3 linked regions of the Arabidopsis thaliana genome follow. The protein of the gene in region 1 interacts with the protein of each later gene in a pairwise test. Each region holds a gene or a part of one and is shown on either strand. Other genes may lie near its edges.

The links.
Region 2: the proteins of NAC096 (region 1) and PYL12 interact in binary tests that used the Arabidopsis thaliana proteins (3 or more experiments, as listed by UniProt).
Region 3: the proteins of NAC096 (region 1) and TPR1 interact in a two-hybrid assay, tested with the Arabidopsis thaliana proteins (one study listed by BioGRID).

What each region holds. Positions count from the first base shown.
Region 1 is NC_003076.8:18,901,572-18,908,367, reverse strand, and holds NAC096 (NAC domain containing protein 96), read right to left. Parts: upstream 3,111-6,796; 5' UTR 2,690-3,110; coding exon 2,533-2,689; intron 2,451-2,532; coding exon 2,167-2,450; intron 2,079-2,166; coding exon 1,839-2,078; intron 1,755-1,838; coding exon 1,557-1,754; 3' UTR 1,316-1,556; downstream 1-1,315. Other genes in the region: AT5G46600 (aluminum activated malate transporter family protein), read left to right, coding at 1-519. UniProt on the Arabidopsis thaliana protein: Transcriptional activator involved in the positive regulation of abscisic acid (ABA) responsive genes. Acts as a positive factor of ABA-mediated responses.
Region 2 is NC_003076.8:18,604,210-18,609,714, forward strand, and holds PYL12 (PYR1-like 12), read right to left. Parts: upstream 2,903-5,505; 5' UTR 2,835-2,902; coding exon 2,355-2,834; 3' UTR 2,189-2,354; downstream 1-2,188. Other genes in the region: PYL11 (PYR1-like 11), read right to left, coding at 1-377; SCRL27 (SCR-like 27), read right to left, coding at 4,248-4,462, 4,636-4,702.
Region 3 is NC_003070.9:30,259,438-30,270,174, forward strand, and holds TPR1 (TOPLESS-related 1), read right to left. Parts: upstream 7,689-10,737; 5' UTR 7,463-7,688; intron 7,104-7,462; exon of another isoform or gene 7,072-7,103; 5' UTR 7,010-7,071; coding exon 6,930-7,009; intron 6,858-6,929; coding exon 6,678-6,857; intron 6,596-6,677; coding exon 6,323-6,595; intron 6,231-6,322; coding exon 6,053-6,230; intron 5,936-6,052; coding exon 5,812-5,935; intron 5,673-5,811; coding exon 5,563-5,672; intron 5,452-5,562; coding exon 5,280-5,451; intron 5,184-5,279; coding exon 5,074-5,183; intron 4,988-5,073; coding exon 4,918-4,987; intron 4,848-4,917; coding exon 4,774-4,847; intron 4,696-4,773; coding exon 4,600-4,695; intron 4,503-4,599; coding exon 4,407-4,502; intron 4,309-4,406; coding exon 4,181-4,308; intron 4,077-4,180; coding exon 3,842-4,076; intron 3,762-3,841; coding exon 3,621-3,761; intron 3,525-3,620; coding exon 3,462-3,524; intron 3,375-3,461; coding exon 3,228-3,374; intron 3,160-3,227; coding exon 3,049-3,159; and 12 more. Other genes in the region: PTAC17 (plastid transcriptionally active 17), read right to left, coding at 110-306, 394-574, 652-717, 828-1,133. UniProt on the Arabidopsis thaliana protein: Transcriptional corepressor. Activates TIR-NB-LRR R protein-mediated immune responses through repression of negative regulators such as CNGC2/DND1. Negative regulator of jasmonate responses.

The sequences.
Region 1 (6,796 bases):
CTCTCCGACAGTCTCGAAGCGGCATTAAAAGATCTCAACTCCACAATCAAGTCACAACCTAAGCTCTTCTTAGGCTCTAACCTTCATAGTAACATCACTAACAAGCACCTAAACGGCCACGTTTCATATTACAACGAAACTAACTCAAACGGCACCGTTTCATATCACAACGATAATAACACAAACGGCTGCGTTTTGGGAGAAACTATAGAAGAGAACGACACCGTATCACCACTTCCGTTAAACAGCGTTGTTTCACTCTCTAGCTTAAGATCGGTGAAGAAATCGGCGGCGACCGGAGAGAAGAGGAGATTGAGGAAACAATTGAGCAAAATCGCGGTTATGAAAAGTTTGGAGTTTTCGGAAGCGTTACCATTTGCTGCGTTTGCGTCACTTCTTGTGGAAATGGTTGCGAGGCTTGATACTGTGATTGATGAGGTTGAGGAATTGGGAACAATCGCCTGCTTTAAGGAGTACGATAAGACTGTGGAGGTGCGAATTGAGAACCGGTTAATCTAGTGGTTGTGTAGATTGAATGTATCGTTACGATACGGCTTATTTTGGTTTTGTCTCGGTTTTCTACTACGTGATTTCGATTCTCTGTTGCGACCGATTTTGTTATGTTTTTAATTTCTGGAATTTTGTAACACGAGGTGTTAATTTGAAGAGTTACGTTGGTAAAAAAAAAGATTACTTTTTGATTTGTGTTGGTTACTTGGTAAATTTTGGCAAAAACTACAAAAAGTTGTAAAAAATAAAAAAAGAAAAATATCAGGGCCCAACCGGGTTCGAACCGGTGACCTATTGATCTGCAGTCAATTGCTCTACCACTGAGCTATGGACCCAATTTGTTATATGCCTACAAATAATTTTATTAATCTTAATACTTCTAGAAAATCACATTACATTTTAATACCAAAATAAAATAATTTTTTTATAAAGCTCATCCAAGTGGTCAAACGATGAGATTTTTTTTGGGAAACTTGATATCCTATAACTTCAATTATGCTCCTTTATTTTTATTATAGAGATGCAATTTTTCAATCCTATTTTTTTCTGTATTAGAGAAAAATTATGTTGTTCATAACTTCATAAGTGTTTAGTATTTTTGGTGCCATGATTCCTTTTGTTAAAAGATTGTTTTACACAGAGTCATTGTTATCAACTTATCACTTCCACAAAAGTTTATTCTAAAGGTTATATATAGTGACGTCACAAAAAGATGGTATAATAGTGTGGTGACCACACTGGTCCAATTAATCATTGTAATAGAAATGACTAATGAGAGATAGATAGTTGAAGGATGACAGTAGTGCATAATCCTATTGAGACTTTTAAGAGAATCCATATGGAATATAAAATACAGCTTCATATATATAAGATATATAACTAACGGTAAACATTTTCATATAAAATATAATAATCCCATAAAAAGTAAAAGAAAAAAAAACAGAATTATGAAACTCATTCATATATTTAGACCAATGCCAAAAGTCTTCCAATACTTAAAACGATAAAAGGTGTTTTTGTCGTAAAGAGAGACCAAATACTTCCGTCTAGGAGAAATCTGAGTAACCGAATAAACCGGTTTGATCGTATCCATAATTTGTCCAATAACCGTTTTGCATAAACTCATCCATGTTCTGATCTAAGCTTGTACTCGCTGGAAACTCCATGTTTTGGTTACCGATGATCGGAAAATCAAAGTCTTGTTGGAAGCACTGAGATGCGACATCTTGGATTTGAGGATAGTCCTACAAAAATTATAAAACCGGTATACGATTAACAAACATTGGTTTAGTTAGTTATCAGTATGTTTAGAATTGTGTACACATTACCTTTGAAGAATCGAGGATGAATTCAGGTGAAATCCAAATGTTGGAAGAATCAGTTTCAGTAGATACAGGATTGGCAAATGAGTGAAACGGCATTGTTTCATCGCGACTAGGAGACGTTACTCGGCTTGATAAACCCGAGCTTTCTCCTGATCCGATTGTTTGCTCGCTTGGAATTTTTCGGATTTTCGTATTAGTTTTGATCTCATTCTTCATAGCAACACGACATAACACAAAAGCTCCCTATAGTTAAACACATTCATTTCTTAATGGTCTCTCAATATCAAAAGAAACGAAACCATTTTAGAACTTGATCAAATTATAAAGTTACCTTTAAATTTTGTGATCCTTGTGATGTATCATCATCGCATAGTCGATATTCATGCATGATCCAATTGCTTCTATCGCCTAACGGGGCACGGCCTTTGTAGAAAACTAGAGTTTTTCTATAACCAATTATAGAAGATGAACGAGAAGTAATTTTTCGATCTTTTCCGGTTGCTTTCCAATAACCAGCCTTTGTTCCTCGATTTGTACGAAAACCATTAGGATATTTTTTGTCCCTTGAGCAGAAGAAGTACCATTCCATGTCCCGGTTTGGGAGAAACGACTTGTCTAAAAGTAACAACACAAAAATATTAAAAATTTGAAAAGTTACCTAATACTTTAAATAGATTTTTGGAAGTTAATATATTACCTGGTAACTCCCAAGGATCGAAACTATAAAGATCGATGACGGGAATGACTTCAAGCTCAATCTCGAGACCTTCGACTTTTCTTTTCAAGTAATATTCGATGAGTTCTTCATCCGTAGGATGAAACCGGAACCCTGGAGGTAAACATGAACTTCCCATTTGCAACAACAAAGTAGAATACGATGACTTGCTAGACAAAAAAAGGTTAAATAATCTTGAAATGGATATTTCTTGAAGTCACGAAGCTATAACTGTTAATATTTGGAAAATCCAAAAATAGAAACTTTTCTCGATGCTGGATTTGTTGTTTAGAAAAAATTGCAAGTCAAGTCGATTGTATTCTTTGTGTGACAAGAACATTGTCTGAAAGAAAACAAATTATTTCGTACAATAACAAAAAAAAAAAGTAACTAACAAATCTTTAAAATGAAGAGATGTAGTAAGGAAGTAATATTGGTGTGAAAGCTTCGAGAGTGATTAAGGAATGATTTTTCCTAACAAGAAGTGCTTAGCAAAGAGTTAAGAGAGTGATTGTAGAAATTAGAAGAGGTTGGTAGAGTGTTGAATGGTTGTGGTGTGATGAATATTTATAGCACAAAGTTGGTAGAATATTGATTTGTATATAAATGTAAAATGGAATTATAAAAGTTTGTTAGAATGTGGCTTTTATTTTTTACAAAATTATGGGTGACCGATAAAGTGATTAAGACATAACTTGTCTGAAGTGTTCTATGTAACAATTCCAAAGTAAATGGACCTACCTAGATTCAAAAGTTTATTTACATGTTCACACTTATGCACAAGCAATTAACAACTCATTCATATATCTTTCAAAGTTTTCTCCTTGACTAATTTTATTTTCGATAATAGGCTTATCATTTCAATCTTCAATCATACAATTATTATGTGATTTACAACATAATCAGTTTTTATGTATATTATATATTTACTAATAATTCAATGTAATCTTTTGTAAAAAAAATGCTATAGTTTTTTAAAATGTACCAATGCTATAGCCTATAGATATGTTAATGTGTGCAACTTTTACACCTCAAGTTGTAACTTTCCCAGTCATATATTACTGTGATATTGAGTTTTAAAATATTGTTACACGTCACTATGCGTAGGACAAAACAACTTTTTAGTGTAACTATATCACTTTTATGTCGTATGAAAAAAATGGAGAGAAGAAAGTGATAACGAAAACTATTTGAGTCGGAACAAGCTAGTGGACCCGCGGCTGCTTTAATCGGACCAAAACATATTTTTAACATTTTCTAATTTGTTTATATGTTCATGTCTTTAAGAACGACCAAAGAGCCACTTATATAGAAGTTAGTTGTCATATGCTTGAGATATAAAGTTTCTTCTTTAACAATTTTGGAATTACATAGTAACTTCATATTCTCGAGTTTAGTTTATTATTTCGCCTAAAATATCCCGATAATATAAAGTTGCAGTTCATGGTTTCCCATTTAGTTGGATCAATTTAGGTTTTTTCATAGCATTCGGAAAAGGGATGCCTTTATACACGATGACTCAATTTCCACATCACTAACATGAATCTTAAGTAGAGTTTTATTAGCTAATGCAGTCAACATAAACCATATGACTTCTCGAATGATACGTCACATAATCTTAAAATTTCATAGTTAACTTAAAAAAAGAAAAAAAGAAATGGAGATGTTTTTGGCCACTAATGAAGAAGAGCCTAGGGAGCTCTCCATGTGGCAACAACTCCTAAACCTAAGGAGAAATGGTTTATGGTTCCTTTTATTTCAAGCTTAAAGACGGTAATATATGCTTTTTCTGGTATTCCTTATGGACAGCTTCTAACATTGACTAGTGTTTAGCTAACGCTACTAATGAAGAGGGTTGGCAGTTTTCTGGTGCTTAAATCCACAATGTTGAGGTTTTCCTCTGCTACTTGACATTAATCCATGTCTCACAAACAACATGCAGCCACTTCTGGAAGTCCGATCCCTTGGTATCATCAAGTATGGTTCTCGGATTCAGTCCCAAAACATGCTTTCACCATGTGAATCGCCTGTTTGAATCGATTACCCCTCCTCTCCCGTTTATGCTCTTTGGGAATTGTTGGAGATAAGATAACACTTTCCCTCTTTGTAAAATATATGTGAAAACAAGAGACAAATTGTTTCAACGTTGTCCCAATAGCTATGACTTAATTGTGACGATGGTGCACATCATGATTGAGATGCCACATCATGGGACTCTCAACTTGCCTCGAGTCTCCTCGACATGATAACCAATAATCCATCCTTCGTCTTATTGCAACCCAAGCTGTTATAGTTACACCTAATGGCAAGAACGTAAGAACCGAATCTTCTGTGTTATTTGTTGAAACAAGTTGACCGAGTAATACGCAACAATTACTCTGCGAGACATTTCTTTTCGTGGTTTTGAGACTCTTTCACTCGGTAATTTTGTTGTTTTAATTGCTAAAAACCAGAGTTGCCAAACCCGAAAGTTTGATGCTCTGTTTTTGTAAGTCATTTCTTTTAAGAAGTAAAACCAAAAATTGTAACAAAAAATATAATAGAAAAGAAAGATCGATCATCCTCGATAGAATCCAGGTTTCAACTATTACTTAGAGGTCATAAAATATCTAATTTATATTAAAAATAAAATGTAATCCAGTTCTTAGTCTTCCCATGAAAAGAAATGTGAAAACATACCAAATGTAGAAAGGGATGGTATGGTATGTCCCGACATCCATATTGGTGGAACAGTAGGCCAACTAATATATTTGGTTTGACACGGTTTTAGTCTATACATAGCAAAATCATTCACGAAAGGTTGAATTTTTATAAACTATTTGTAATTGGTTATATATACGTGATTTCCATTTATTCGGATATTAGATTTTTAATTTGAATTTTGACTATTAGCATAGGTACTTGTAAATTATCGATGTAGTACTAACCAAATTTAAACTCAGATAATGCATGTTGTCAAAGAAAAAAGATACTGAAGCGTTATTATGTATTAATCTGTAAAATCATTTTTGTTGGTTTGATTTTGTTCGTAATTGAGAAATCCAAGTGGCAAAAAGCTCAAAATAGTTACTTGAGTTGACGGTAACATAGGTTCTCGTTCTATGAAAGTGTTACCTTATTATTTTGGTAGAGTGAGAATATTCCCACACTACTTTACGTACGTTCACTTTAACCCATGGTATCGTCAGCGGGAATACGATCGGAAAAGAGAATTAACCCCAAAAAAAAAAAAAAACTAAAAGCATATGTAGAGGAAAATATACTCGAAAAAGTTTGCCTATACGAATAAACGGATCTATCAATGACCACCCTTACACGGATACCTATATTAGTTTTGTAAATAATATTGTCCTTACGTGGTGAAAGCGTTTTTGGTCTAGTAAGTAGTTAGCCAATAAATTAATATTCATACGTTGATACAGTAATTAAAATTCTAAATATCTCGTCTGAATCGTAAATATCTCGTAACATGTATAATGTGTGTTAGAGATTAAGGTAGGGATTATTAGGTCATAAGATTAAGATCTATAATGTTTAGGAAGCATGTAATGAGACATTGAGTAATATATAAGAGACATAAGTCGCTGTACTTATTGCCAATTGGTTTTGGGTTAGAAATTTATGTAACTTTATTATAGTATCAGAGCTTTCAATCTTAATTTCTAAGCTGGTTCTGATGCAATGATAAATTGATAAGAGTAAAGAACACAAATATGTCTAGGATTAATTATAATAAATTCTCATAAGAATAATTGTACAAGATGCATTCTTTTATATAGAGATGAGATTGATCTAAGTTTCATAATCTAAGATAAATATAAATATACATAATATATTTAGAAATAATGCTAAATATTCTAAACTTCAATATTAACAATATATTTTTGTCATATTTTCGTCTTATCCTCTTGACCGTCGATCTTCGGTTCTTTATACGGGTTTTCTATATCCCAATAATGTGAGTTCAGTTTTTAATATACGGATATATGGATCTCTTTGTATAAACTACATCATCATTTTGATGATAAATAAAAGTCAGATAACAATGTGATAGACAGATTAAAAATTTGTAATATAACTGTTTGTATTATTAAATTTGTCTCTAAGGAAACTTTCGGGAGATGGAAGAACTTATGGATGATCTTGAAAAACTTATGGATGATCTTGAACCACAAGGAGCCATGTTCGACATGGGGGCGATTTGTAATATAACAGTTTGTATTATTAAATTTGTTACCGTATCGTA
Region 2 (5,505 bases), 300 kb from region 1:
GGCACATCCACCACATAACTCTCCACCACCACCGTCTTCTCCTCCGTATCCGCCGCCACAAACGCCATCGTTTTCGACCGGTAATTAACCAAACGATGATCACCACCTATAATGCTAATCATCATCACATGAGACTCATCGTCAAGTTCATCTAATCTCTCTCGGCTGAACTCCGCTGGAAGACCGGAAACCACCGTCACTTCACGGACGGAGCCTTCTCCTCCATCGCCGGAGCTTAGATTGCACGTTTTCACGAATTGTTTGTAGGCTTGAGGGTTATCAAACCGACGTAGAATTGACCAAACTAGAGATAGTGGAGCATCTATAGTTTGTACTAGTGTGGAACCGCACGTATGATATTTTTGAGAAGTTTCCATTTGTGTATTGCTGTTTTTTTGACGAAATTGTCCTTTTATCGACCGTTGTTTTGTGTGACAGTATCTTCAAACCTTTTTGAAGCTTCCATGCATTAGTGTTCGAGTATTTATACGAGAAATATCTAAGAACAATGCCGACTAAAAAAAAATATGAGTTGTCATTTTTTGGTGTTTTCTGCAAAATATGAATGTAATATCAAGTAAGAAAAACTTTGTTGATTTGTATAACATAAGATGATAAAAAGAAGTTTAAAGTGTATATATATTTTAAAAGAATACATTGTAATATGCACATAAAACCAAAAAAATGCTTTAAAAGAAAGACTGATTAATCAGTGTAGGATGTGTAGCATATGGTGACAATATATAGGCATATGGCTACATATTTGTCCGTAAAATATATTTAAATAAATTGTAAACTTTAGAATGCACATTTGTTTTGTAACGTCATTGTAATGAAGAATGTATTTCGGTTAAATTTGGAGGGTTATGACATGGATTGTGGAAAAACTAGTGGCATGTAATAGATCCACGTTTTCGATTTCGTTCATACGAACCACACTTATTTACCACACATTTATAGACATTGTTTTTGTTGATAAAAACTTGACTAAATGAAAAAAAACAAACAAAAAAAAAACAAACAAGAACAGATGAGAGAGGGAAGGACATATCTTTAAACGCCAAGTTGAGAACAGGCCCAATGAGCCTACAGATTAAAGATCCATTTGAAGCCCAAAATAGCATCACTTACTCCTTCAGAAGGTAAAGATAATTGAACCGGAAACCGATAAGCTTAACCAAATTGTATTTCTGTTTAACTTTTATAGGGTCCCTTTTTCTTTTGTTAACAATTTGAAAAGGACCAAATAATTGAACCTTCGATCGTAATCGCAATCTCACATTTTCAAACTCTTATATTTTAATCTGATCAAAAATAAAAATAGACACACAATAAAATAAAGTTAAACAGAATAAAACGTTTACGAGTTCAGTCGATCAATATGATTAGAGATGAAAATAATTTCGGTAAGACTTTTGCATGCAATCTATCAAGATTCAAGGCCGTATTTTAGCATATGTAAGTAGGATAATCGAACAATCCTAATTTTGTTTAAGAAAATCTTAAGTAAATATGTATAAGTGAGGTTATTTTTTTTTTTAATTGTTTACCAACATATTAGCAAAATGTTTTTTAAATATTACCTTCAAGTAAAAATAGTTTGAAATGGCTCTTCATTCTACTAGTATGTAATTAGTTTCTTGTGAGAAAAAGTGTAAAAATAAGTAGAAGTTGAACAATTGAGCTACAGCCAAATATAACAGAATTTAAACTATTTTTCCTCTTTAAAAAGAAGCTGTTGGAGACGAAGGGTTAATTACATTAATTACCATTGTATTTCAACTTTTTGTATTTTTTTTTTGTGCAAGAAAAAAATGAATCATAAAATATACTTTTTATTTTATAAGCGAACTATGTTTAATTTCTTCACTTGCACATGCTAAAAGACGCTCTTTGGCATCAAGTTTCAACTGAGAAGGTATAAGACACTGAACGATCAGAGTCTGCTTTAGAAAGCTATTTCGCTGGACACGTTAGTACTCACAAGTCAATTCCTGTTACAACAACAAGAGTTTTAATCAAAAGAAAAAAAAATGATTTTAACTTTTTAACTTGAATGATTTCAAAATTTGGCTTATATCAATACATTTACAAAGGAGAGTTTAGAAATGGACTCAAACTAAAATTGTATATACTTTTGGGCAAACAGAATAATGACATTTAAGAAAGAAACTTAAACAATTATTTTTAATTTCACAAGACATATAAATACATAATTATACCTATATTATTCCCAGTTGAATAAGCATATTTTGCTAGTTGCTATATATCCAAAACCTCGTAAAAATGTAAGAGTTTTACTTTTAAATTCTAAAAACTAATACTATTATTACAATCCCACGACTTTTACAACTTTAAGTGAGCTCCATCATCTTCTCCGATAACTTAGCCAATGACCTAAGATTACACCCAACGATAGTATCAGCAAACAACGTAGTTTCTTCCTCAGTATTTCCTTCCGGCACATCCACCACATAACTCTCCACAACCACTGTCTTCTCCTCCTCCGCCGCCACAAACACCGTAGTTTTCGACTGGTAATTAACCAAACGATGATCACCACCAATAATGCTGATCACCATCACATGAGACTCATCGTCAAGTTCATCTAATCTTTCTAGGCTAAAACTCGCCGGAAGATCGGAAACCACCGTGACTTCACGGACAGAGCCTTCTCCTCCATCGCCGGAGCGTAGTTTACAAGTTTTTACGAAATGTTTAAATGTTTTTGGGTTATCAAATCGACGTAGGATCGACCATACTAGAGGTAACGGAGCATTGATAGTTTGTACTACTGTCGAACCGCATACATGCTGTTCTTGAGATGTTTTCATACGTGTTTGTTTGGTGTTTCACAATTTTGTTTTCCTACCGACAGTTGTGGTTGTTGTCTTCAAATATTTTACGTAGTGGCAAGTTTTTTTTAGTATTTATATATGAGAAAAATCTATAGGTCGACAAAAAGATGAGAAATATCTTTAGAACAAGGCCGACTGAAAGAAATACTAAAATTATGAAATTCTGAACGCATAACAAGTAACAACGAAAATTTATTTATATATTCTATATGACATTTAACTTTGGAATAAAATATTTAGTTTAAGTCCATTGTGATATTTTATACATGCACATAAATACCAAAATACTTTAACGGCCTGAGTAAGTATCAAACAGTGTAGCATAGCAAATTGTATACAAAATACTGTAAGGAACAATTTGCGGTTGTGGTTGGCGGGTTATATGACATGGACTGTGTTAAAAATAGTGGCAAATAATGGTTCCACGTTGGTTTACACGAATCACACTTATTAATCACACATTTATAGTGTATTATAAGAACCAAATAGTTGACAGATGTTAAAAGAAAAGAAAGTAGACAAAAAGGAAAGGAAACAAATAAGAACAGAGATGAGAAGTTAGAGATTAGAACTTAGACTTAATCCAAAATGGCAAGCTCAGAAAGAGGCCAGATGAGCCTAAAATTTATAGATCCATTTTAAGCCCAAACTAGCATCACTCTTTTACATTAGTTTTTAACCTTCAGGGTAGCCGATAATCGAACCAAAACCGATATAAAAATTAAACCAAAATGTGATTTCTGTTAATATAACTTTTCTTTTTCCATCTCCAAATTTAAATTCACGGATATAGACTAGCAAAAAGAGCCAAAATCACAATCACAATCTCACATTCTAAAATCTCTGACGATTTTGTTTCTTTAGTCAAAAGAAAAAAAAAATTATCGAAAAATTAATCAAGGAGACATTTACGAGTTTAGTCAATATAAGAAATTAAGTTGGTTTCAGCAAGACTTTTAATTGCAATCTACTATTGAGTTCTTATGAGAGATAATGTAAAGAAAGAAGAGGAAGTTTGAATAGTTAAATTAAATCGAATGTTATAGATTAAAAACTATTCCGGCTAGCTAGGTTTTAATCTATAGTTATATTTTTTCTGAAATGTATGATAAAGACTACAAGATCGTACGACATATAATTTGGCTTATATCAATACATATTTATAAAGAGTTTTAGAAATGGAGTAACCGGGAATGATTAATTCATGGCGTTGGAGATTAACTCCTTCAGACATGTTTCACAATAACATGGAAGGAAGTAAAAGGGTTCATCTTACTGGTTAGTTAAACCTTAAATAACATTTAATTTATTAATTTCTAGATAGATAAACTATGGTTCTGGAACTACATGAAATTTTTTTTAACATTTAAAAAAAAACTACATGAAAATTTAGCAAGGAGAATATGGAAATTTACATTTGCAAATACGTCTGCTATTGGGTGCATCATAAATGCCACACTCGCAATGAAAAGGGTATTCTTTGATTTTATTAAAGCCTCTTATGCAAGTTTTGTTTCCGTCCCACCCACAATTTTGTTCGAATACTTGTGCCTTTTCGCACACCTTCTTCACTCTCTTGGCCTTAGTCTCCACCGATTTCACCTCTATTCGTTTTTTATTTTTATCAATCATACATACACACAACAAAAATAATGTCAAAATTGTAAATAAAATGATTATTTAATATATAAAAATTGATAATGCAGTAAGTTTTTTTTTGTCTTTTAAACCGAGGATACTAATCTAAATCGAAAGAACAATAGTGTACATTACGTACCTCTCACGTGACTAAGAACACAAAATATGAGAACACAAGAAACCATGAACAAGGTAGTAGACTTCATGATTTAACAAAAATGGTAAAAGCTACTGTCTTTGTTACCTCTCTCTTGTAACAAGTGTGTTACTTCTCTTTAACGGAAACTGCCCACACCAAAAATAGTTATTTAAACTAAATTAGGGGAAAAGAAAAGGGACATGTAAGAAGATCAAGTCAACCAGATCTACAAAATTAGCTGTTTAATCTTAAAAGGAAAAATAATTGGATGGAGGAGCTTGTCTGCGTTCTGATTACAGGACATAATGGATGCAACATTTTCATAAATTTATTTTACACCTAACTTAAATTTAACAAAACTTCAAAAATTACCAATATGATAGCCAAGAAACGAGGAAAAGACAGCAATGTTACATTTGGAAGTTTGATAAACATTCAGAGGCTTTAGAGCATCCTCATTGGTGAACCACTTTTTTGAGTGTCTTGAAACTAAAGTATTTAATATTTTAATATTAAAAATGTTAAAAGAATATACATGGAGGGATGGGTCTTAATTCTTTAAATTCTTTTTAATTATAACATTAATTCATCTTTATATTTAAATACCCTATATTTTTATGATCAATGAGAATGATTTTAGAGGTTAAGTGACAAGAATATCCAAAAATATTATATCCCTTGTTAAGTTGTGTAATGTGTTATATACATATATATGAGCACATGCATGAATTATCAAGAGATATATATAAAAAATTAGAGGACTTGGGAGTCCGAGCAGATCTCTTTCCCTTCTAAATTTGGTTTTCGATCTAAATCCAATATTCAACAGTAAACTTCTACTCATTGATTTATTTTTTATTTTGTAATAAA
Region 3 (10,737 bases), on another chromosome or scaffold:
ATTTGAGAGAGGAACGACCTGAATCTTATGATAGAAGAGATTCAACCACTCAAGATCACAAAAACTATCACATTCTCTTTGAGACAATTGTGTTCAAAACTTTGGTTACCTTGTTAACTATGATACGATCTGCATAAGCTATTTGTTCAACAGCCTCATTGACAACACCTTCGGGTTTGACCTCGTCTAGATGCAAACGAGCATGCTTAGCATCAACTAGAGTAACAACACCGTCCAGTTTGACATCATTGAAAATTTCTTCCTCGGCATAAAAGGTTTGGATAATCGGTGCCGGGTTTGCCAATCCTAAAAAGTGAAAATAAACATAAGATAGTCATTACTCATTCCCCAGATTCTCTAAGCATACTAAATGAAAATGCCCCCTTTCCCAACCTGTAGTCTCTATGACTATATGATCGAACTTTCCTTTCTTGGTATTGACTAATTCTCCAATCATCCTGACAAGATCACCCCTAACAGTGCAACAAAGGCAGCCATTGTTGAGCATCACAATATCCTCAGCTCCAATAGATTTAGAAGCAACAAGTGACCCATCAATGTCAACTTCACCAAACTGAGAGAATTCACATGAAACATGAATTAGAAAGCAACACCATTATAACTGAATTCAGGCGAGGATAATAAGCTAACCTCATTCTCAATCACGGCTATTCGCTTCCCATGATCTCTGGTCAGTATATGATTCAGCAATGTTGTCTGTGGAAAAACAAAACATTGCAGTATAATTAGTCCAACATTTCTTTTACTTAGCAGGGCTAATTTTAAACCCTAGAATAGATATGAAATGATGAGAAACACTGACTGACCTTGCCAGAGCCCAAAAAACCGGTGATAATAGTAGCCGGAATCCGGTTATCTGGCGGAATCTTAGTGGTGACATCAGAATCTTCAGTCTGCGTAGCTGAGGCGGAGACAGATGAGAATCTTTGACGGCGGACCACCGGGGAATAGAAGAAAGACGGCGTCGTTCTGACGGAAACGGTGGTAGCTCTGGGCCTGGAGAGAACAGAGACGGCGGCAGAAGAAAAGCGATAGTTGAAGGCGGCAGAGGAACGAGGAGCGGTGAAAGAGAGGAAGGTCGTAGCAATCTCTAGTGTTGATAGCGTCGCCATTTTAGTTAAAGAAAGCAAGCGAGAGGTCAATGGCGATTGGCGAGTTTAAACCTCGTCCCACTCTGTAGCTTCTTCTAGATACACACACCAGATAATTTTCACTCGATTTTTTTTCTCTGTCTCTTCTCAATATTTTCTCAAAATTACTATTTTTGAAGATATTTATCATTGTAGATATATAAGTCTGTGGGCCGTGGGCCGCATAGGCCTTAGTAATTCTTCCTTCGTATCTCAAAACGAATATCCAAACCTATCTCGAAGCTGCACGTGGCATTCAATCCTTAGTTCGTGCTTAGATTCGGAGTGCAAAATTGCAAATTCGTCCTTTTGCAAAACTGATATTTCTCAAGACCAAAATATCAGAGGCAAGCAACATCGAATTAACCAATTAAGAAGAACTTGTAAGCTATTAATTCATTTACCTTGTTAGAATGCTTTCTTCCCCCCACACAAACAAAACAATAATAAATCGGAAAAGATCTAAAACCCCCACAAAAAAAACAGAGTAAGAAACTGAAGCAGATCATCTCTGAGGCTGGTCAGAGGCAGAAGCTCCAACGGAAGGTGTAGCCGTGACAGCGCTGGCTGAGCCATTTTCAGGCGGTGGAGCTACTCCCCATTTACCTTCTGACTCAAGCGGCTCGAATATATGGACCCCTCCGTCTGACAGACCCACTGCAAACATGTTGGATTCTTGCGGATGAGCCGCTATCACCAGTGGATGGACATTCGAGTTGCTGCACAAAACATCAACATGAAGACTCAAGATTCATGATCCAACATTGCACTAGTTTATATTCATTTCATTAACTCACCTGAGAGAAGCTGGCAAATATGCAGAGGGATTGACTCTGCAACGCAATCGAAGGTTTGCAGAGCTGAAGACGCATATTGTAGCGTCCATGAAACTTGTGTATATCAATTGGCTATCACATGAGAATGTGGCATGTGTTATTGGAGCTGCTGATTCACGCACAGGCCACTGGAATCAAAATAAAGACATTTCTTTCTTCTATAAGGGTTACTCAGATGCAAGGAGAGAGAATGAACATATATAAAGACTAAAACCTGTTTCATGCATTCAAGCTTGGTTGTTTCGTATATAGCGAGCTGAGTTTCATGGACCACAAGGAAGTGTACTTGATCTTGATGAAACTGAACACGCGTGTCTGACAAAGAAGACGTGGATCTTCCCTGTGGAATTTGCAGAACCTTGCTTTTCTGCTTCTCCCATCCATCCGTGTTCCATACGCAAAGCTGCATACAAAAACCAAAAGATTCACACTAAGACTTCTAAGGATTTGGATTCTTTATTACAAAACATGAGATGAATCAGCACCTGAGCGTCTGCTCCAGACGAAACCAGAACGTTTAATACATTGGAGAAAGCGAGGCCGGTTATTCTCTTAGAATGTCCTTTAAGCTTGCTCTTAACCTCATCAACACGAACATTGTAAATCTGTATTGTACTGTCATCCATCCCGATCGCAATGATATTGTTATCTTGAGGGTGAAAAGCAAGAAACGTTGCGGCAGGAGGAGGCGGCATGAAAGTAGCCATTGTCTGCGCTTAGCCAACAACACAATTAAATGTAACAGATGAAGCATTGTTTGCATACATTAGACATAGTGCTGTCTGTAGCTGGGATTTTACCTTAAACGTCATCATATTAAACAAAGAGATCTTTCCTCCCGATGCTGACATCACGTAGGAATCATTTTTCGATAAAGCAAAACAGGGTACGGCTTCTTCTGGATTAGTTTCAGCCACATCGTTTGTCATTAAGATCCCGCTCGCTGGTTGCCACTGCTGAGGAGGTAAAGAAGCCGTTGCCTACACAAAATCTCAAATTGAATTTCATCATGATTTCAACTCTTTTGGCGATCTTAAAGGAAGATTTTAGACCATAAGTACCTTCCCAGTTGCATTACGGTCATTTCGCTGCCACTTCCATAGCAGATGAATAGCATTTGATGCCAATGCCAAAATTGCATTTCCCGAATTTGTGAAAATCAATCTCGATATCTGCTCAAGTTTTGAGTCATTAGAATCAAGCCATATAAGTACAGTTATGTCAGTCTATGTGTTAGTACCTTGGTGACTCTCATATTCTCAGGGAGTCTCAATGAACGGCACTGAGAGGGTTCGCCGACTTCAGTAAGCTTCCATACCTTAGACTTATCATTTGATTCTTCGGTAATCACTGGCTTCACATCCACCATATTCCGCGAATCTCCATTCTGTTGGAAAGGTAAGTGATCAACAACGATGATTGGACCCAGACCAAGAGATAGAGAAACTGACGGAAAAAGTATCGATTTTCGTACCATTCCAGGGATGGAAACGACAGAGGCAGGTCTCTCTACCATCGGAATGCTGTTGATTGCAGGCTGCAAATGTACATGAAAAATAAAGTGTTGAAGAAATTTCAAATTGGGGGTTAGTAATTTGCTTGTTGAAGATCCAGTGAGCACAAAATTCAGTACCTTGGAGGATTCAGAAGATAAGTTCTCGACTGTGTGCAATAGCCTTAGACCATCTGAGTTTGCCATAACCTTAATCATATTGTCATTTGCGGAAACAGCCAAGAGAGAGCCTTCCTTGTTAAATCTGATCCGTGGACTTGCCTACAAAACATAGAGAGCCATGATGGCTGCAAATGAAAACATTCGGTTCCCAGGGAGAATCGAGGTATTTGTTTGCATACCTGGAGACCTCCATCAGCATCAATGGCAGTCAAAAGCTGTATGGTGTCCATATCCCAGAACTTAATGGAGAAGTCGTCACCCGCAGCGAGATAACGGTTTTTAGTAGTATCAAACTGGACAACACCAAGGGAACGCTTGTGGAATCCTTGATAAGTTCTCTTCACAGCTCCTTCGCTTTCATTCCACTCAACTATGAACGATTCCCCATCTTTACTCGTCCCACAAGAAAATAGCCTATCCATGTGAATATAATAAAAAATAGATTTTAAATTTATTATCACTTCATGACGATACAGAACAGAACCACAACATAAAGATGATGAGAATCATGTTATAACCTAGTTCCATCAGCACTGTAGGCCATCGTTGTACACCAGCGACCAGGAGCTTCGTAGTCAACCCGAGAACCCATATTATCATATAACCATGCTTTTATTTTTCCGTCAAGAGCAGTTGAAAAGATAAACTTAAGCAGAAGAAGAAATAAACAAGTCAAAACCAAATAGAAACGAATTTCAACTTGTACTTAGCAAAAATGAAACCGTATAAATATTGCTACTTTACCTGAATGTTTTCCTTGTAGTGAGGGCAGATAGAGTAAACAGGAGCTTCATGGCCTTCAAAAGTATACCGTTTTACACCCGTTGCAGCATCCCAGACCTTAATTCACAGAATTGATTAGTCTGTTTTTAGAGTTCCAACAAAAAAAAAAAAAAACAAGAGTTAAGGAAATGAAAGAAGAAAAAAAATACTGAACCTTGATGGTTTTGTCATCACCACAAGTAGTAACACATAGTTGCTTGTTCGGAGTGGAAAATGCAATGTCATTGACACCGCCAACATGAGCATCAATCTGAAATAATAAAAAATGATTTTCATTACAGGAAATGAAAGAAATACTCCTAAAATGTTGTTGTAAACTATATCACACCTCAAGGTGTTGCCTCATGTCTTCACCACCGTGATAAGAGTATAGCTGTACAATATGTCTCGAATAAGCAACTCCTGCAGTTGAAAACGTGCGCATATGAATACTCAAATCGGTTGAAAGAGCATTTGTAATCTCAAGTCTTACCGAATAGGGAACCGTCCGGGCTCCAAATCACACGGTTGACAGAAACGACAGGTTCTTTCACCAAAGCAGCCTATAAAGACCAGAATTGTTGGTCACTGAAGTTTCAAATAGATATTAGATATTAATATTCTGGTTGATTTTCACAAAAGAAGACACCTGCAAGGGCATCGAACATTTACTCAAGTCCCAAACTTTGAAAGTCTTCTGGACTAGACGTTCTCGAGAACCGACTTCCCAGAGCCCAATATCCCCTACATTCGTACCAACTGGAACAAAGAAAATTGAAGCAAGAAACTTCTGGTTTTACAAAATTTCTGATGATGTATGTTACATGAAATATGCATACAGACCAAGAAACAGACCTAGTAGCAGAGTCTGTTTAATAGGATGGAAATCCATGCTCATGGGAGATGAGCCTTGGCTCAAAGTTCGTGCAACTGTCTTGGGCAAGTCATCAGGTGCTTTGAAGGTTTGATTATGACCATGAGCCTGCCCCGGGAATGTCATTGGTAACATGTTCACACCTAGACTCACCTACATATGGGGAGAAAGAAGAAATACGTTTAAAGTCTAAACTAGTACTACCAATTATGTAAAATTGGTATTGATAAGAAAATATATAATATTAATTAAGATTTTTCTCACCTCGTCAGAGATTCCCATAGGTCTGGTTCGCTTTGAGACATGGTCTGAGTCACCTGATGGATAGTCTACAGCGGAATTAGAAGGAGGAGTTCTCGGGTGTTTCAAGGCTGCTAAGAACCAAAAAGGAGAACATGTTACATAGATCACAGGTGAAACTTAAAGGTTCTGAAAAAAAGGCGAGGATAAAATTTAAGACTATAGTTCCACACAGCTTTTATAAAGAAACACCACATTTGATAAGCAAATAACCTTGGATGGATGGAGCACCAAGAGCAATGGGTCCTCCAGACACAGCTGGATGTGGGACAGAGGAAGGACTAGACATCCAACCAGCAAGAGGTGTCGGAACCGGAGAAGGTGTTGGTTGAAAAGGCTAAAGACATAAAGGTAAGTCAAGCACGGCATGTAAAGGTAACTATAGAGCTAGAACCAAAAGCAGTAGAAATGGCACTTATAGAAAATACGAAAAATCAGGTGGAAATTGACCTACCCCGTGTGCGCCTAGAGGAGGAAATCCCTCGGCTTTTGGTAATGATCCAAGAAGCGGATTGTTGACAGGGGATGGTGCTCGTGCATCATTTGGTAGGCGGCAGGAATGATCGACAAAGAGAGTCTTAATATCAGGATTAGGCCTTGGGTTCTTACAAAGCTGGTGTTGCCAATTTAAGCTGCAGGTTTATGTAGCCACATAGAAACAAGGAGTTAAAGTAGCTGACAAGAAGAAAATTTGTTGAAGTGAACAAGAAAGGACAAAGAATACCTCTGATTAATCAGAGTCCTGAGGCGTGAAGTTCTAAGGGTAGGAAACTGCAATTTATCACGGAATAAAGGATTAGCTTCAATCAACTTCTTGAGTTCCACCAACATGATAGCTCTGGCGGACTTTGTGTCCCCATACTTGGATAACTGCTCGTTCTCCCTGAAGTTTTCTAAGGTCAAGAGCTGAGTGATTTCCTTGAAAAGCTCCTCATTAAAAGTGGAAAACACTTTCAAATCTTTGACTAAAATATCGACAGCCTTGGGACGATCATGCCTAGATAGAAGCAGCAGCAGGTGTGATTGATTGGCAATATGAAAACATTTGATTCTTGTTGTTGTTGAGAGACACAAGTTACCTATCCAAGGCCTCGAGATACTTCTGCTTCCTAATCTCGAAGAAAATCTTCATGGAGTATCGATTATCATCAACTTTAGTAAAACCAGAGAGATACTTCTCAACCTCATCCCAGTTACCATTGTGCACCTCATCCTCAAAATACTTCATATTGAAGAAAAACCCAGATTCTTGTTCAAGCCTAATTAATAATCAATCAAGTTAATAATAATGCCTAATAAAAGACAAAAAGGAAAAGAGAGATCGGACATACTTATGAACAGTCTCTTTAAACTTCTCTTCATCTAAAAACTGTAAGATCAAGAAGACGAGCTCTCTGCTCAGAGAAGACATGATTGATTTTGCCACTCAGTCCGATAAAGCTATCAAGTCAGATGCAGAAAAACCCACCAGATCTGCATATCAATATAATGGCGACGATGATAACCTTACAAAACCATCAAATCATCCCAATTTACTGGGTTTCAGATATTCCTCCATTTAATTATTATTTTTAAAAAATGAAAATAGACACAGCCTCTTAATTACACAGTATATAACTAGATCTTTACAACTATCCTCCGGAAAATTCTCCAAAAGTCTCTATTCCGGCGGATTTAATTAGTGTTTAATTGGGCTACACAAAAATTAGGTCTTCCTAGTATTATTATTGTCCACCGAATTAAATATAAAGCTTAAAATGGCCATCTTTTTCACTTCCATGAGACAAAAACAAAAATCAAAAACCCAGAAAAGCTACGATTTAGATATTAAACCAAAAATGAAAGACCTAGATACGTTACTTGCCATGAAGAAGAAGAAGACGATCGATTTCAGAAACAAAGGCCAGAGCTTCAGTTTCTCTCTCCTGATATTGAAAGAGGCCAAGGATTTGGGTTTTTTGGACTCTCCTCTCTCGACCAGAAAGTAAGAAAAAAACTAATGGAAAAAAAAAAAACAAGTTTTCTCTCTCTCTCTCTCTCTCTCTTCAGGCTTATTTATACGAACATTAAAATCTTGCAGAAATGGAGACTTTAATTTAAAACCAAAAAATAAAAAGTGATTTTAATATGCGAAGGTGACGGATAACGGAGTCTAATAAGACAATGCACCTATCACACGATAAGGGAGCTGATTTTGATAAGCACGTTGACTTATATATAAGTACAGATTAAAGTTTAAACCAGCATATACGACTTAGCCGGCTACAATTCTCGACGTTATCGGCTCAGAATCTCTAGCTGCTAGCTGTACTCCAAGTAGACATGATCCTCTGTGTCACAACATGAGTACACCCTCGGTGAGTGCCGTCGATCTTGTACGATGAACCTTAAAGGATATTCATCCAACGGTTTGAAAGCGAAGTAGCTGCGTCCCCACATTTCCCTCATAACACGACAAAGCTTTTCCTTCTGAAATGCATCTTTAAGTTCCATTGCCCTTGAAAATGACAAATATTTACCTAAATTGCCATTTTTATTCTTGAGATGCGGTACTCGTTGAACAAAAATCACGTGATTGAGAGATAATGGAAGAGGTTATCAGTTAAATTCTCCCGACATGATAACTCTTAAGCCTTCTCGTGATTTGGAGTCGTTAATAATTTAGTGAGACTCGTTTAATTTCTAATCATTTAACTGTTTTGGATTGTTTTTGTTAATCGCATAATGTGATGTGAGCTATATATATATTGACTATTGAGGATTATAATCGAATTTATTTACTCGATGACTAATAAAATGATTTTGTTTGTTTATTCACAGCGTAATTGGTATTTTCGTTATATATATTCGACGGTTTAATTACAATGAACCAATATGTTAATTTTATAATGTGTCTAGTGTTATTTTATATTGGTCTTTCAGACTTTGACAAGAAACATCGAGTTTGACGTCATTACCGTAAAGTATTTTGGCACCAAATGAAGATCAATATTATTTGTTTTAATTGCTCAAGAATGATGATGGTTGCTTTTGCTAAAGTTATGGGTGCACAAGAAAAGTATATAACTTTTGAAAAGCACATTTTTATTCTTTTAATTTACACGGTAACACGAGTATCTCTACTTTTCTAGTAATGCTTACACAGATTGATATCTTGATTATTTGGATATAAGTTCATTTGCCGATTTAGCTTGCTTTTTTATTCAAATACTGATTAACATGGAATGCAAGAAAAAGGAAAAAAAAACCTTCTTCTTGCCATGGCGAGTGAGAGGACTACTAAAAAGAATACAGTAATTCCAAACTGATAAATATGAGTTTTTACGTGTGGAAAAAAAAAATTTGAGTATTACCTTAGCTCTGCAAGATATATTAAGAATACAGCAAATAAAGAAGAAATCAAATAAGCATATTAGATTTGTTTTCACAAACTGAAAAATCCTCAAATACATAAAAAGAAAAACACATAAAAATCCAAACTAATAAATATGATTAATGATTCACTGATTTTCGCCTGAACTAAATTATGGTCGTAAGTTTTTTGTAAAAAATTGTTAAAAAAACAAAAACTGTCTTATCGAGACTTATAACAAATGATGAAAATCTGAAGAAATAATATATATTTTTCAAATAATTATGTGGTTTGACATGTCAACGTCTTTATTATCAATCAGAAGACAGTAAGGAACATTAACAATGAAAAGGGAAGTTATAAATTAAGATGTCAATATCAGACAACTACTCGTCAATCCATTATGATACGTTTCATTATGAGTCACTAGGTACATGTGCATGATGTAATTATCACTTATTAAACAGATTATAATTTTCAACTAAAAATTCGATTTGGTTTCTAAATAATATTTACAAACAATACAAATCATCAATGACAAAAAAATTGTTTGCTACAACGTCAAACTATTTTAAATGAGTAGATTCTCGATAGATCCTCTACAATCTACATACTTTACTTTGAAATAACTCTCCACTCTCCAGATCAGAACACAAATTGTAATAGATTAATAGCTCAAAAATAGATGAGTACTTCTCTTTAGAAATATAAAAATCAGACTAACACGTTGAAAATTATATAGTACTATGTTTTATTTTGTAAACCGGTCATTAAAAGTTGTGGAGAAGTGAATGGTGGTCAGTGTTCACTGCATCTTCAATATTTTTTATACATTCTCCGGCCAAAAAACAGTGCACGTTGGTCCCATCTGGCTGGTCTGTTAAAAAGTCTAACGGGATAATTAAATTCTTACGGGAGATATTACTAAATCATTCAACGATGCTATCAAATCACTTTCAATAAAAAAAACAAAGTCAAATATAAAATATGTTTTCAATTAATAGAGCCACATACCGATTTTTTTTTTCCAAAGAAGGCATTGATTTTTCTAATAATTGTATTTATTTTAAATATTGGAATCTACAAAACATTATTTTAGGTCAGTTGGTCAATGCAATTGGTTAGAAAATCTGTAACCAATGAAAGGAAAATAGTGTCAAATTATACTAGTGAGTATGTTCATAAGTTACTAAAGTCCACTAAGTATTAATAAAGCGCACTATGTGAAACTACTACAATTATTATTGGCTATTTTTGTTTGTACTACTTGTTTTGTTTAATCATGGTTAGTTTTTTAAATTTTAAAACCAAACTTTAAGTTGATTAATAAATAAATAAAAACGTAGATGAGAAGGGTGTTGGCTAATGGCTATTGGTTACTTTCCACTTATGTATGTCCTCTCTTCTTCTCTTAAAAAGCTTAATTGCTTTGCTATTTTGATACTAGTACAGTCTATTCTTCAATTTATCAGCTTCTTCTCTTCTCTCATATCGCGGTAATTAAAGGCGATATACTGATTGCTTTCTGGGGAGAAGTTGTCGGTTGTCTTTTGCCATTATAATTATAATGTGAATTTTTGTAAGCCATAATTATTTGCACTATTTATTTATTTAGCCCAAATAAGCACGTATGTATATATAGATAGACTAATTTCCACGTATCCAAGACATTGCCGCTAACTATTTTTTGTTGGGAAAATTTGATTTTTGTTATATGACGACGACAGCGACACCATCAAATTTGTTTATTTATTTCGGTTCTCTTGTTATCCCAACGCCGCTTGGAT